Linked DNA regions of Elephas maximus indicus. The protein of the gene in region 2 purifies or fractionates together with the protein of the main gene of each other region. This does not show direct contact. Links are inferred from orthologs where the notes say so. Each region holds a gene or a part of one and is shown on either strand. Other genes may lie near its edges.

Region 1 (7,375 bases), on a different chromosome or scaffold from region 2:
TAATATTCCATCCAGTAAACGGAATCAAATTTACTGTATTTCTCTATTCTTGGACATGCAGGTTTCCACATTGGGTTTTTGTGTTTGTCTGTTGGTTGGTTTTTGCTTGTTTGTTTTGGTATCTTGTCCTCTCTCCCCTCCTCTCCCAGGCTTCATCTACTTCCTGGTGAACGTGGCAGGACGTGCCCTCCCCACAGCTTCTATGTTTATGGATTCATTCAGGATAGTAGCCAAACTGAGTTTAAATCCTCTCAGCTCAAATCTGCAGTACCCTGAAAAGGAATCGATGGCCTCAGCTTGGGTAAGTGCTTGACTTGACTCCCACTGCATCCATGAAGGGGAAGGCAGTTCCCCAGGAAAGGGGATGCTGACCCAACAAATATTGTGTTCACCTCAGGAAATAATCCTGAGGGAAATGGGAATAACATTTACTTGTGAAATTCAGATACAGCTTTTTTATCATCAAATTTATAAGAATTTTCCAGTTTAACTTAGTGGCCTTCTATAGACTCCTTTAACTCTAAATCCAATTGCTGACCATTTAACCCTGGAAATACTAAATTATATTGTTTTTAAAATAAAGCTACAATAAACATTTTCATCTAACTTTTTTTAACTTTTGAATTTTTTTTTTTAAATAAACTGTTGGAGGTCAGACTCTGGGTAAATTAAGAAGTGTAAATATTTTTATGCGTTTAATGCAAATGCTAAAGTAATAAAACAGAAACTTACACTGCTACCAGGTATTCAAGTGTATCATTTTCACAGAAACCACAGTAGCATTAAGTATTAGAAATCTTTTTTAACTTATTTAGTAGTCTTAACATGATACTTTTCTGCTGTAATGCAACATCTGGCTATTATCAAATACTATCCTTATTTATGTAAACCTTTCAAAGAATCTTATGAGATGAGGAAAGTTAAGCTAATTCATTACTTTTTTAATATATATCTATTATTAACAGGTTTCTTACAGGGAAGAAAGCTACTAAAGCTACTCCCCACACTGAAATCTGCCTAACGCAGTTTTCAGGTATCACGTCTCAAAGGCTAGTGGAGACTGTTCATTTACTAGTTTCAATTCCAAGTTTCATGGGTGCTATTCTTTGTGGGCTACAAAGAGTTAAATGGCAAAAGAGTACCCCTTTGTAATTCTAGGGACAGTAAAAGGAGCCGGTGAGGAAAGAGCCACCACAGATCACCAAACTGATACACTAGAACACAGGCTGGTCTGGACCCCTCACTTTCACAACTTTGCATCTCTCTGGAAACCCTGGTGACATAGCGGTTAAGTGCTGCAGCTGCCAACCAAAGGACTGGCAGTTCGAATCTGCCAGGCACTCCTTGTAAATTCTATGGGGCAGTTCTACTCTGTCCTATAGGGTCGCTGTGAGTTGGAATCAACTCAAGGGCACTGGGTTTGGTTTTCTTGGTTTTACATCTCTATGCATCATTGGTTTTCTTCTTTCTTTGTCACTTTTATATGGGGGGAAGTCCATATTCACAAGATTAGAAATAAATAATTCTGTATGCAGGGTACTAAGATCTGCTCAGTATTATCACTGTTGGAGACCATCTACCCCTTTAAATCTTATGGTTCAAACTTTTCTCACTGACACCTCAATTTCAGATTCAAAACCTATCTAAAGTCCTTTATACTGATCAGTTTCCGAATCTATACAAAATTTTTCTGGAAAAACATTTTACTGGAGAAACAGCTACTGAGTTCCCCACCTAAGTATCAAGTATACAGATGGTAATTAGAATATTGGAATTCCTTTACTAAAACCAAAAAAATCAATTGTTGCTGAGTAAATTCCAACTCATGGTGACCTCATGCATTTCAGAGTAGAGCTGCACTTTAAAATGTTTTTTATTTTTTTTCTTTGAGAACAATTTGGAGAAAAACCAAGAAATTAAAAACAGCAAGTAATCTACAATAAAGTTGCACTCAGGGTTCAAATAAAGGATCCAACAGCTAAATACTTTAGAAAGGTATCTATCCTTTAAGAAAAGAAAGTTTATGCTCCTTTCTACCAGAGGAGACACAAAACATAGGCCTATTAACCCAACAAAAGGAAAACCAAAGTTGGGCTTTATTAAGAAGCTAAAGTGTTCAAATTATTAATAATGACTCAATTTTTTTTTATAAATGAAGCATTTCCCATGAAAGATATACCTGAAAAACACCTATATTTAGTAGATTCAAAGGGCATACAGCAATTATATTTATAGCCGAAATCGTTACAAGAAACGTACCTATAACCAAACCAAGGCATACCTGTATTCATTTTTACTTGTACCCAAATATAGCCTCATTTTCCCATCTAAACATAAAAAACCATAATTAAACAATAATTTCAAACATTCTCATTAATATTTCTAGTACTCTAAATTGGTTTAATATATTCTAATGCCCCCAAAGCTTCTGGCAAATAGTATGCTCTCAATAAATATTAGCTTTCTGCATTGCTTTGTACTAAGTTAGGAAAAACCAAAAAAAAACCAAACCCAGTGCCATCGAGTCAATTCCAACTCAGAAGTTAGCAAGTAACAGTTAAATTGAATCCCAAATTGTTACTCATATCAGTGGCTCAGAATTTTTTTCCAAGTTCTTAGAAGGGTCATATTTTACCTAACAATAGGTTACATTTCTGAGTCAGTGATACATCTTTCCTCTAATCTACCTCCAACTCTAACAGTATTTTTGGTCTTCTTATAGTCTTCTATATAGAGTATAACTCTTGGAGACTATAAAGGATGATTATTTTTTTGACCTCTCCTCAAAAATATTATCTTAATTTACTGTATTCAACAGGTAACACTAGAATGACGACAAGTTGAAGAAAATCACATTTTAGTATAAATCACGTTCAAGAGAAAGAGTGGCACCTGCCTGTTTGAATGTCCTTCCAGAGAACCCAGGATTTAGAACTATCTTCAAATATGATGAAACAGCTCTGTTTCAGTATGTTTATCTGTAACACAGAGGAATATTTACAGTAATCTCTTTAAAAATGAAAAATATGAAGTTAAATTTAAAGGCTTAAGATTACTAAAAGCTTACTACAAAAATAGAAAAAGACATCTTATATTAAGGAAACTTGCCTTTTTGATAGTTCCAAGATAAAACAAGCCATCTGACCATCTAGCTAGGACATCCTGACCTTCTTCAAATTTACATGCTGGCTTTTTGGCTTTATGTCCATCCTGTAAAGACAGCTTGGTCAAGGATGTTGGGGCCTTTTGGTTTCGGCGTAAAGGAGACCGCTTGTGGACCAGTGAATTACCTGCCCCTGTAGAGTCTCTGTTTAAGAAATAAAAGACCATATATTAGACTAACTTACTTGTAGAACCTATGCCAATGATGTATATTTTAATTTAAAAAACTAATCTGTGAAAAATCTTAAATTGCAGAAAAATATAGAGCAGGTGTAGAATAGATGTGCAATAGTGGAACAGGGGTAGAATGGGGTGGAACAGACACGGAGTAGAGAAGGAATAGAGGTGGAATAGATGATGTGGAACAGATGACATGGGACAGATGTGGAATAGTTGTAGAACAGAGGTACCTCAAGATCACAAATACTCTCTAAAAACAAAGTAGTTTAAAATAACAGTATAGCAGTTCTCAATATTGTCAGTGCCTACCCTAAGTGAGGCCAGGCAACAGCACCATGCCAAGATAACACAGCATCAAAAAAGTAGCTGTAACTTGAGGTGGCTAGGCTATGGTCAGGAGCAAAGGATGATGTGAATTTCATAACTGGGTTTAGATAAACTAAAAGAAGTTAAAAAAAAAAAAAACACAAGGTTGCCATTAAGTTGATTCCAACTCATGGCAGTCCCACGTGCTGCAGAGTACAACTGTGCTCCATAAGGTTTTCAACCATGTGTCCTTTCAGAAGCAGATCACCAAGCTTTTCTTCCAAGGCACCTCTGGGTGGGTTTGAATTGCCAACCTGTTGGTTAGTAGTTGAGCACTTAACCATTTGCTCTACCCAGGGACTCTCTAAAGAGGTTACACAGCACAATTTCATACACACTTGATAAACAATAAAAATGAATTAAATTTTAATCTCTTGATTATGGCAAATACAGTTAAAGTTCATACTACGCCAGTGACTTTGGGGGTAGTTGGTTATATTTACACTCATCGGGAGGTTAATCATTACCCTCCTCCTACAGGGTATCACTACTGAAGCAAGCCTTTTTTACTGATGGGAGTTATGTTACAGTCCCTCAAATATACATACTGGGAGTTTAAAAATAAAAAAGACTGAGAACCACCAATTTCACAAATCACACTGAAATAACAATTATATTACAAGAGCATTCTTTTTTTAAAGCAAATCGAAAACCAAACCAAACCCAGTGCTGTCGAGTCGATTCCGACTCATACCCACCCTTTTAAAGCAAAAGACTCCAAAACTACATACTAAAAAATTGCATTATAGCTTATAGTCATTCCACAAACAACATATCACCATTAACTTCCTTAAAGGTAACAAAGCACTGTTTCTTATTTTGTTTCATTTTTCCAATTTAGAGTTTTCACTAATTAAACACAATGACAAAGCTCAACAATAATTCTAAAATAAACAGCACCAATACCTAAGAATTCTGTTTACACAAATTCTTGGAAAGTGATTCAGATGTCAGTGACAGAATAATGTGATGAAGGTTGAAACCAAGGCTCTAATGTTAACTCAGAGCTAGTAAGCAGAAATGCTGGAATTTGAACCCAGGGAAGACTGACTCCAACACCAGTATACAACCCATTGTGTTCCTTTAGTCGCCACTTTCTCCACCTTGACAATTTGGTAACGATAAATGTTCTGTGTGTGTGAGGGGATGGTAAATATATGCAATAAACAAAATTCTATGTTCCTCAATCAATGATTTCAGTAATTACTTACAACATCAACTCACTAAATATAAACAGACTTTACATTTTAATCATGTGGACGTAAGTTTTCTTAAAAATTTGATCCTTCCTGGTCCCTAATTTAAATATTCCCCTTTCCTTTCTCTTGTTAGCTCTGCTGAGTTAGGAGCTCCAAAGGTTGCTCATCCCTGCTACTGTTAGGAAACAAGGTTGCCAACCGAGATAAGCCCAATGGCCCCTAGGTTCTGGTGTTATAACAATTTTAATAGCAACAAATCAAAAAGACCTGCGTAACCAAAAGCACTGGACTATCCATCTGCAGACACTGTTCAGCTTCTATTATATAGAAATGTAACATATTTGACAATAACAGCACAAAGGAGGTGGATGGGAGTAAAGCTGTATCATTGTTGTTGAGTATTATCAAATACACTCCGACTCACAGCAATCCCATGTCACAAAGTAGAACTGTCCCAAAGAATTGTTTTTAATTTTATTTATATATTTTCTTGTTAATATACATACCAAAACATACACCAGTTCAACACTTTCTACATGTACAATTCAGTGACACGGATTACATTCTTCAAGTTGTGCAACCACTCTCACCCTCCTTTTCTAAGTTGTTCCTTTGCCATTAACATAAACTCACTGCCCACTAAGGTTCCTACCTAACAATCTGATACCATATAGATAGTTCTTAAACGAGGATAATGCTCAAAGCAGGCATTTTTTAATAGTTAAGTTAAACTATTGTTTGGCGTTAAGAAGACGTCAGGGATGTTTTTGGTTCAAGGTTTAAAGATTATCTCAGGGCAATAATTTCAGGGGTTCATCCAGCCCCCATGGCTCCAGAAAGTCTGAAGTCCATGGGAATTTGAAATTCCATTCTGTATTTTCCCCCTTTGGATCAGGAGTCTTCTATAGAATCCTTGATCAAAATGTTCACTAGTGGTAGCCAGGCACCACCCAGTTCTTCTGGTCTTATGGCAAAGGTAGCAGTTGTTTCACAGAAGCAATTAGCCAAACATCCCATATCTTCCTTCTGTTCCTGACTCTCCTTCTTAATCTGTTGCCCCAGGCGAATAGAGACCAATTATTTTGCCTTGGATGGACGCTTGCAAGCTTTAAACACCCCAGGCACTACACAAGGAACTAGGAGATAGAACAGAAGCACTGAACATGTTATTAGGCCAATCAACCAGATATCCAAACCATGGAATCAAATCCTATGTGGTTATGGTTGTACATAAGCAACCTAAGCACTTACACTTTTTGTCACTCTTGTAAATATACTGATCTCACCACTTTAGCCAACTCAACTTTTTACAGTTGTACAACTTCTTGGGAGCAACTACAATAATCGGCTGTACAACTCGACCCTTAATCAATGTGATTTTTCCATCATGGGTAATCCCATCTTTCCCCCTGCTTCCTGCCCCTGGTAACCACTAATAAACTTTGGTATCTATATATTTGCCTTTTCTTGTCTTTTTATGTAAGTGAGGTCGAGAATATTTGCCCTTTTGTGACTAGATTATTTCTCGCAGCGTGTCTTCAAGCTCCACTCAAATTGAGGCATGTATCAAGACTTCATTTCTAGTCACATACAAACGGGGGAAAAAAAAAGACTAAGCTCTGATTACTTTGAAGAAACCATGCAGGCAAGAAGGCAATAGGATGACATATATAAAGTCTTGAAAGAAAAAACTGCCAACCAAGAACAATATATCCTGCAAAACTTTTGTGCAAATATGATGGCGCAATTAGAGCATTTCCAGACAAACAGAAATTAAAGGTATATGTAAAAACCAAACCACAACCTTACAAGAATTATTAAAGGGAGTCCTTCAGTTAGAGAACCACCAACATCAGATGACAACCTGAATCTAGGACACAAGACAGCATTAGCCAGACACCAACCTAGATAATGAACTCTCAAGGATAAAACAAAATTAAAAGATTTACAAGAGAACCAGAGAGGTCAATCTGTAAATGACGACAACATCAGAACAATAAAAGAGGGAATAAACGGTGTAGGTACAGAACTGTCAAATGGATAGGAAGCCAAGGTGATATGAAGTATAAAAGAATGGTTTAAACTTTGGAAGACAGAGGTAAATTTCAAGGTAACCATAAGAAAGTCAACAAACCTACAAACCAAAGAAGAAAAACATAAAATCTCAGTAAACACAAAATCTACAAAAACAAAAGAAATGAAAAAAGTCCACAAACAAAAGAATTCAGCACAGAAGAGCAAAAAGAACAAAGAAAACATCAGCCCCACCAAAAAAGCACTGCAAAATGACAGCAATAAACGCAAACCTATCAATAATCACACTGAACGTAAATGGCTTAAATCCACCCATACAGATGGAGAGTGACAGAATGGACAAAAAATTTAGGACTCATCAATATGCTGTCTACAAGAGATGCACCTTATAAACAAAGACATAAATACATTAAAAAATCAAAGGATGGAAAAAA
Region 2 (7,519 bases):
TTGTCCCCGCTGGGGTCATGTGCCCATCCATTGGCTGGAGGAGAGCAGGCCATCCTGATGGACAGTCCTGCCAAACTATCCAGTCTGTTAAGAGTAACCCACTGACAAGAAATTTAGCATGCCGTTCACTGGAGAAGGGAGAATGGATGGTTGCCAGCAAGGACAAAAAACTTTCACTCTCCTGAACGTCAGGAAAGGCCTTCAGTTGTAAATTACAATGAATGCAGTGTATACTAAATCTTTGAATAAAAGAACCACGTGCTTGGGATGGGATACTCAGAGCAATTTTTCTGAAAGAAGGTTGTCCACAGGAAGCCTTCCCATCATCGCTTGTGGATTGGGACCAGCCCAGAAGGACTTTCTTATTCATTATTTTTCGTTGGACAAATATTTATTTACTATTCTAAGTCTAAGCCCCAGTGATTCTGGTCTAGGTCATTTCCTTTATTCACTGTCACCAATGAGGACCTTGTGTTGCTTAACATAAGTAGCTAGCACAACATCGTACGTTGGTCTTTTTGAATCCAGACAGACACCCCACGAAGGTTAAATATTAACACATTTATAAGTATAAAACAATTACTTCAGTTTACCTAATAAAAATATAATACCAAATGAAAACAAAGTACAAGCTCAAACAAGTACAGTATGTTTTCTATTATAATAATTTTCCTTTAACTCCCTCACACAATTAAACAATATTTTAAGAAAATTACCTAGAATTCTATCACACTAAGATAATTCTTTTCATTTGTCTGCATTACTCTTCTACCATTTAGTCAAATATTTTTTCCTAAAATGTGTGGGGTGTTGTTCTTTTTTTTTTTCCTGTTTACAGGAGTAATGTTGTCTACTGGAGAAATTTTTAAAATAGAGCAATATATGAAAAATAAAATAACCATTATCCATATTACCGGTACCAGGAGACGATGGCTATTAATATTTTAGCGTATTTTCTTTAGCTCCTGATGATTTGGATGAAAACAATATGACCAGAAACAAAATTGGTATTTGTTACATTCCTCTTTTGCACGTTAAATTTTCAGATTTTTTTGTAATGAGATTTGCTTTTGTAATAAGAAAAACAAGCAATAAAGGAATGTATAAGAAAGCGGGATCTCTGTATGTCTTGTTCATCCATGTGCCCCAGTTCCCAGCACACTGCTTGTGTTGGGAAAAATATTTGTGAATGGCTAAGATTTTCACAAAAAACTAGTGAGACGGGGTTGCTAATGAGAAATAATGGGTATTATTTCTCTCGCTCCCTCTCTTTTTCCTTTTAGCAAACAGTTCATTCTAGAACATACAATCAGTTCTCAATAAGCTTGTTGTCTTTATTTAAGACTGACTGGATTCCAATTTCAACTCCAACACTCAGTAGCTATGTGACCTTGGCCAGAAATTTCAGACTCTCAGACTCCCCCATCAGCTTCCTCAGCTGCACAGCGCTGGTTCAGGTGCTGGGGATTTAACAAAACAAAGGCCACACCCTCACATTTACATTCTAGGGTAGGGGAGATAGCCTAGAACAAACCTCTGTCAGGTGGTGATAACTGCTATGAAAAAAATAAAATAGAGGAATGGGGCTACAGAGTGAGCATGGGTGGGGCCAGGTGGGGAGTGTTGCTATTTTATAAAAGGTGGTCAGAGAAAGCTAAAGATTTCAAAAATATACCTAGTGTTTTTGTGCACTTCAAGTTGAGACTGATTACGATCATGAAATCAATTGAGGGTGATCTGCATATTTAAAAAAAAAAGAAAATATAAAACCCCAGAGCAAATCACAGTTTGGTGTATAACTTGTTTCAGTTTATGTACACGTGTAGTTCTCCGTGGAACACCGTTGGGGCGGCCTGGAGAAAGTGGTAGTTAACACTTAGCAATTTTGAGGCAAGGGCTCTCTGAAGTAAGACCCTCCTCACCTTGTGTGTGCACCTGCTTCTGTTTTAATTAACAGCTCTAGCTGAGTACCAAAGAGACAAAAACACTACCACAGTAACAGCGGGAGAAAAGATCAGGATCAGGGCAAAGTGGCTGGGGAGAAAGGCAAAACAAAAATGAACAGTCCAGCAATTCAAAAGAGAAAATTGGTATCACATTTTTTGTGCTAAAAGTACCTGATGGGAAAAATATTAAAAAGAGAGAGAGAGAAATGAATTGACACATCCAATTTAACAACACAAACAAAAAACCCCCCAGCAAAATCCAAAGCTAACAACTATGTCGTGCATACTTCCCGATTAAACTTACGACTACTGCCTGCGCTGACTTGACGGCAACTAACAACAACTGGGTGAATATTTTCAGAAACTTCTAACTTATTGGTTCCATAGTCCCTTCTCTGACCCTCGGTGAGGTAGGCAGTATAAAGATTTTAAAGCCCTATCATCTGGGAAGATTTCTTGTCTTTCAACCCTGTAAACATTTAATTAAAAAAAAAAGGTTTGGGAAATCATGCCTACCCATTAGAAATGAGTAAGTTATTTTAATGGGAGACTGGAAATCTCTGCCAAGCCTTTTCTTGCTGTACAGACGAGAAGGTTCGCATTGAGGCAGTAATACCCAATTATTCCAGAGCAAAGTCAGCGAGCCAAAGCTAACCCGCCGCCTGTTTTTGTATGGCCAGGAACTATGAATATTTTTAAGCGATTGGGGAACAACAAAACGAAAGAAGAATATTTTGTGACGTGAAAACTTTATAAAATTCAAATGTCAGTGTCTATAAAGTTTTATTGGAATAGCCAGGTTCATTCGCATTGTTTATGGCTGCTTTAGTGCAACAACAACGGCAGAGCTGAGTAAACCAAAAAACAAAAAACCAAACTCACTGCCATGGAGTGGATTCGGACTCAGAGCGAGTCTATAGGACGGGGTAGAACTGCCCTATAGGATTTCCAAGGAGTGCTTGGTGGATTCGAACTGCCGACCTTCTGGTTAGCAGCCGAACTGTTAACCACTATGGCAACAGGGTTTACAAACCAAAATACCAAACGCCTTGCGGTCGAGTCGATGGCGACTCATATATAAATGCCTGCAATGCCTAAAATGTTTACTATCGGGCCCTTTGGAGACAAAGTTCGCCGGATCTGGGTTCTAGAATGTGAGGGCTGTACTGCTTAAAGTACCTTCCAATCCTCTTCCCTCTCCAGCCATCACCTCAGGCAAGAAAAGATTCCTGTGCCTGACGCGGACAGAGGGCGATTTATTAATGAATTGTATAGTCAACCCAAAACACCGGACAGTAAATTTCTATATAAGGTAACAGGAGTGGCTCTGCCACCGACTTGAGTGATTTCTGGGTTTCTTCTACGATCACAAAATTGAGCATCACCCCAGCACTTGCACTGTCTCATGCGAGCGTCGCCGCGGTCACCCGCGTGAAGGCATTTGGAAAGTTGTCAAGGCAACCAGTGCTCCGAAGATACTCTTGAAGGGGGACTGCAGTTCTCTTTGCCTGTCAGTCCCTCAGCCGCCTCCCCCACCCGGCCCCTCGACTTCGGCTTCGGGCCCTGATTTTCGCCTCTAGCTTCCCCTTTCGGCTTTCCAGCCCGCGTTCTCATCCCCACACAGTCCTCGGACTACCAAATTCCCGCGTCGGGATTCAGGGGAGCTGGGCCAGCTCATTCCAGCTCTCCCGGTTCCAGCCGGTTGAGGTGAGGTCGCCCCGGGACCCCTGCAGGCAAGAAAAGTGGCTCGGCAGGGTGCGGGGCTGGGCCCGAGGCCCCTGCAGTGCAAGGAGGCCGCACTTAAAGACTTAAACGTGCAAACAAACGAACACTTTATTCCAGTCGGCCTTGGCTCCTTTGGCACCGTTTCGGCTGCCTGTGTCATCGCAGGCCGCACGTTCAGCCTAACAGGGCGGCCTGGCGGCCCTGCAGTCAGAAAACGCCCGGGGCCTCTCCCAAAGGCCCCTTCGACGCCCACAAAGCCCACCGCAGCCCGCCTGGGTCCGCCGCCGGCTCCAGGAAAGGCCAGGCCCTGCTGAAGGGGAGCCTTTCGGGGTGCACAGAATTGCAAGGGGATGACTACTGGGGAGGTTTTTGAGAGTGCACTAATTTCTCGAGAACAGAAAACACTCCCTAAGACTACGACCCTGAGTCTCTGAATTCCTCTTTCCCTCGGGCCTTGGCTTCGCTAAGGTCCTCAAGCTCCCTGCCCCCCTCTCCCGCCTCCCGCCTCCCCGCCCCCCCCAGCCGCCGCTTCAAACAACCACGCCCCGCGGCCCCAGGGCTCGCTGCCCCAAGGCTCACAGCCCCCGCGCAGCCCGGCACGCCGCGCCTCCATTCGCCCTGCCCCCTCGCCCCCATCCGCCCCCGCGGCCGGCCCTGGGAGTGCCGGGCGAGGCCTGGCGCCTGCGCCTCGCCAACTTCCTGCCGCGGAGCGCCCCGCCCACCCCCAGAAGCCTGCCCCCGAACGCCGCGCGAGACCCGCCCGCCTCACGCCATTGGTCGAGACGGAGGAGCCGTTGGCTCCCAGGACCGCCTCTCCGCCGCCTCTCACTTTTCCCAGAGCGGGTGCGCCTGCGCTCAGCTGCCTGGGCGGGCTGAGAGGCGCGGGTTGAAAAGTCTCGTTCCAAGTTTGGAGAGAGAGAGAAGAGCGCCTCAGACCTCGGTACCTGCGAGCGTGAGGAGGCAGGAAAGAAGAACGCGGCGTCTGGGGAGGACCCAGGCGGCAGGCCGGAGCTCAGGCTTCGAGAGCTCGAAGTGCGTGACGCGCCTGGGAAAGGCAGGAGCGTCTGCGGTCGAGCTGCACTTGGCTAGTGAGGGGAGTCCGAGGCGGCGGCGAGGGGCGAACGACCCGACGCAAGATGGCGAGTAAAGAGAGTAAGAGGCCCTGCGGGGCGGCGCGCGCCGGGCTGCGGGGGGCGGCGGGCGAGCCAGGCCGCGGCACGCGCCGGTGAAAGGCGCGAATCGGCGTGCGGAGCGGGGGCGGGGCCGGCGCGAGGTGGGGCGCGCGCCTCGAGGGGCCTGCGCGGGACGGGCCGCAGCGCTGAGGGCGCCGAGCACTTCCGGAGCCGGGCGCGGGGCCCAGGGGTGGGCCCCCGGCCGAGGCGCTCCCTCCGGCGTCCTCGGCGCGGGAACGGCGGCTCGCTCCACGCGCGCGCGGCGGCCGCCTCGGGTCGCGGCCCTGGTCGGCGGGCTTCGGGAGCGGGCGGGCCTATGGCTGTCCACGCGGGCGTCGTGGGAGCGGGGCCTAGCGGGGCGGGGGCCGGAGGGCAGGGGCTGATGGTTGTCCGTTCCGTGTGCATTTGTCTGTCCGAGCGGATCGGGATCCGGGTCGTCCTTTTTACACAGGTGCGAGCAGCTGTAAGAGACCGAACAATCTCTAAGGTCAGCGGCAGTTTGATGGCCGTGTAATTACCGAGATCTGTGGACGCAGGAGATACTGATCTCACAGTGCGAAAAATAAGCTGCTTGGTGTTAATATTTTCCCCACGTTCCGGAGGAGCAGTTTGTTGTTCGTGTCCAAATTCGAGAGAGGGGGGAAAGAGTAGGTTAGGTGTGGCCATCTCGGGGCGACCTCCAGTCGCTGGGTGCAGATTCTGAGTGTCGTCTCTCAGCTTAATCCTGTGGGCTTTCTCCAAATTGCAGTGTTCGAAGATACTGTGGAGGAGCGTGTCATCAATGAAGAATATAAAATCTGGAAGAAGAATACACCGTTTCTGTATGACCTGGTTATGACCCATGCTCTTCAGTGGCCGAGTCTTACGGTTCAGTGGCTTCCTGAAGTGACTAAGTAAGGGTTTCTGGCAACTTTTATTCTGCATAAATTTAACTGTCCTCATGAATTTCCTAGTTTTGGCGTTTTACACACAGAACATAAGAGGTAATGAATTGGCCCTTGAATGAGGTGATAGGTTGTGTTTTCAAAATTGAAGTGATTTATGGGATAATTTCTGATGTATAAATGTGCCATTGAAAAGGGAGAAAGAATCTGTTGACATTAATAATGTTTATAGGAAACACAAGGCATTTGACATTTCTTGGGTTTATATAGAGAGCAGTATCTGGGCCTCAGACTAGTGCATTTCTGTAAAATTTTATTGAAAAATGGCATATGTACAGAAAAAGCACACAGATTGGAAGCATATGGCTTGATAAATTTTTACAAAGTGAACACACCATGTAACCGGCACTCAAGACAAATACCTTTTAATTGGCAAAGGAAAAAAGAATTTGGCAACAGTCCACCAAAGAAAGGGTGTTGTTACTGGCTTATAGTGTGAAATACACTTTGAGATTGCTATTAGTCTTCATAAGAGTGGTCGTTTCAGCTAGTTCTTATATTTGTCTGAGTAATAATTGCTGATAGGGAGCCCTGGTGAGCAGTGGTTAAAGCACTCAGCTGCTAACCGGAAGGTCGACGGTTCAAGCCCACCAGCCTTTCCTAGGGAGAAAGACGTGGTAATCTGCTTCTGTAAAGATTATAGCGTTAGAAACCCTTTGGTGCAGTTCTCCACTGTCCTACAGGGTTGCTATGAGTCGGAATCCACTCGACGGCAAGTGGTATCGGTAATAATTGCTGACACTTACTGAGCACCTAGAACAGGGCCTGTCGCATCTGAAGAGTTTTATGTCCTATTATTTGGTGTAATCCTCACAGCAATACTATGATATAGGCACTTTTTATCGTCTCCGTTTGCTGATCAGAAAACTGAGGCTGAGCGCTTAAGTGATACGTCCGAGATCATGCAGCTGGTAAGTGCCGGAGTAGATGTAAAAACTCAGAAGACTGGCTGGCTCCAGAGTTCAGGCAGCCCCTGCGCTAGACACCCTCACTCAACCCCATTTCTGTCAGGAACGTGGCTATGTACATATTTTTAAAATTGTATTGGCTTTGGATATTGTGAGCATATAATTCAGTGAACATCTAATCAAATTCTAACCTAGAAAGAAGATTTTTGAAAGGTTATGATTTTATCTAAAATTAATTTACTTCTATAAGAACTACATTTCCCATATGCAAACATTGAGCTCCACACAGGTAGGGGCATCCATCGGTGCTCCTGAAAATCTGAGTGTAAATGTACAGATAAGGGAAGAGTAGCCACGAACCAAATAATAGAGACTTCTAAACGTTGGCAGTTGTAGCTGCCTTTGAACAGATTTTTAAAATAGAGTGACCATCATATACTTTAAAGATACGCAGGTGCTGGATTGGAGCATCCTGTGAATTTGACTCTCTCTATCTTCCTGTTAAGCAAATTTAAAACTTTTCAGCAACTTACTTCCTCTTGAATTTCTTGACTTACTCTAACATAATAGGAGAAAACAGGGGCTTTAAGGCCAGAGATCTGGGTTCAAATCCTGCCCCTGCTTCCAGGTAGCCTTGTGGCCTGGGCCAAGTTGTTAGTTTGTAATCCCTACCTGCCCAAGGTGTCTGTGAGTGGAGATGCCAATAGTGCCGACTGCCTGCACTGGAGGTAAAGCCTCTGGCACAAACTAGGTGGTAACTGTTAAATGTTACCTGTAATGTGTTTTGCTTATATTTTTTTTTAGCAATAATCTGTGTGTTCCTC

Evidence for each region. Proteins that work in one complex are often made in the same cells at the same time.
Region 1: the proteins of RBBP7 (region 2) and MTF2 purify together in Homo sapiens (affinity purification with mass spectrometry; 4 studies listed by BioGRID and IntAct, counting the BioPlex papers as one, with this or other methods). This does not show direct contact. The link is inferred for Elephas maximus indicus from reciprocal best matches to the Homo sapiens genes RBBP7 and MTF2.

Annotation. Positions count from the first base shown.
Region 1 is NC_064821.1:149,096,504-149,103,878, forward strand, and holds the start of MTF2 (metal-response element-binding transcription factor 2), read right to left. Parts: upstream 3,038-7,375; 5' UTR 2,897-3,037; intron 1-2,896. UniProt on the Homo sapiens protein: Polycomb group (PcG) protein that specifically binds histone H3 trimethylated at 'Lys-36' (H3K36me3) and recruits the PRC2 complex, thus enhancing PRC2 H3K27me3 methylation activity.
Region 2 is NC_064846.1:162,733,373-162,740,891, forward strand, and holds the start of RBBP7 (histone-binding protein RBBP7), read left to right. Parts: upstream 1-4,498; 5' UTR 4,499-4,807; coding exon 4,808-4,823; intron 4,824-5,591; coding exon 5,592-5,736; intron 5,737-7,519. UniProt on the Homo sapiens protein: Core histone-binding subunit that may target chromatin remodeling factors, histone acetyltransferases and histone deacetylases to their histone substrates in a manner that is regulated by nucleosomal DNA.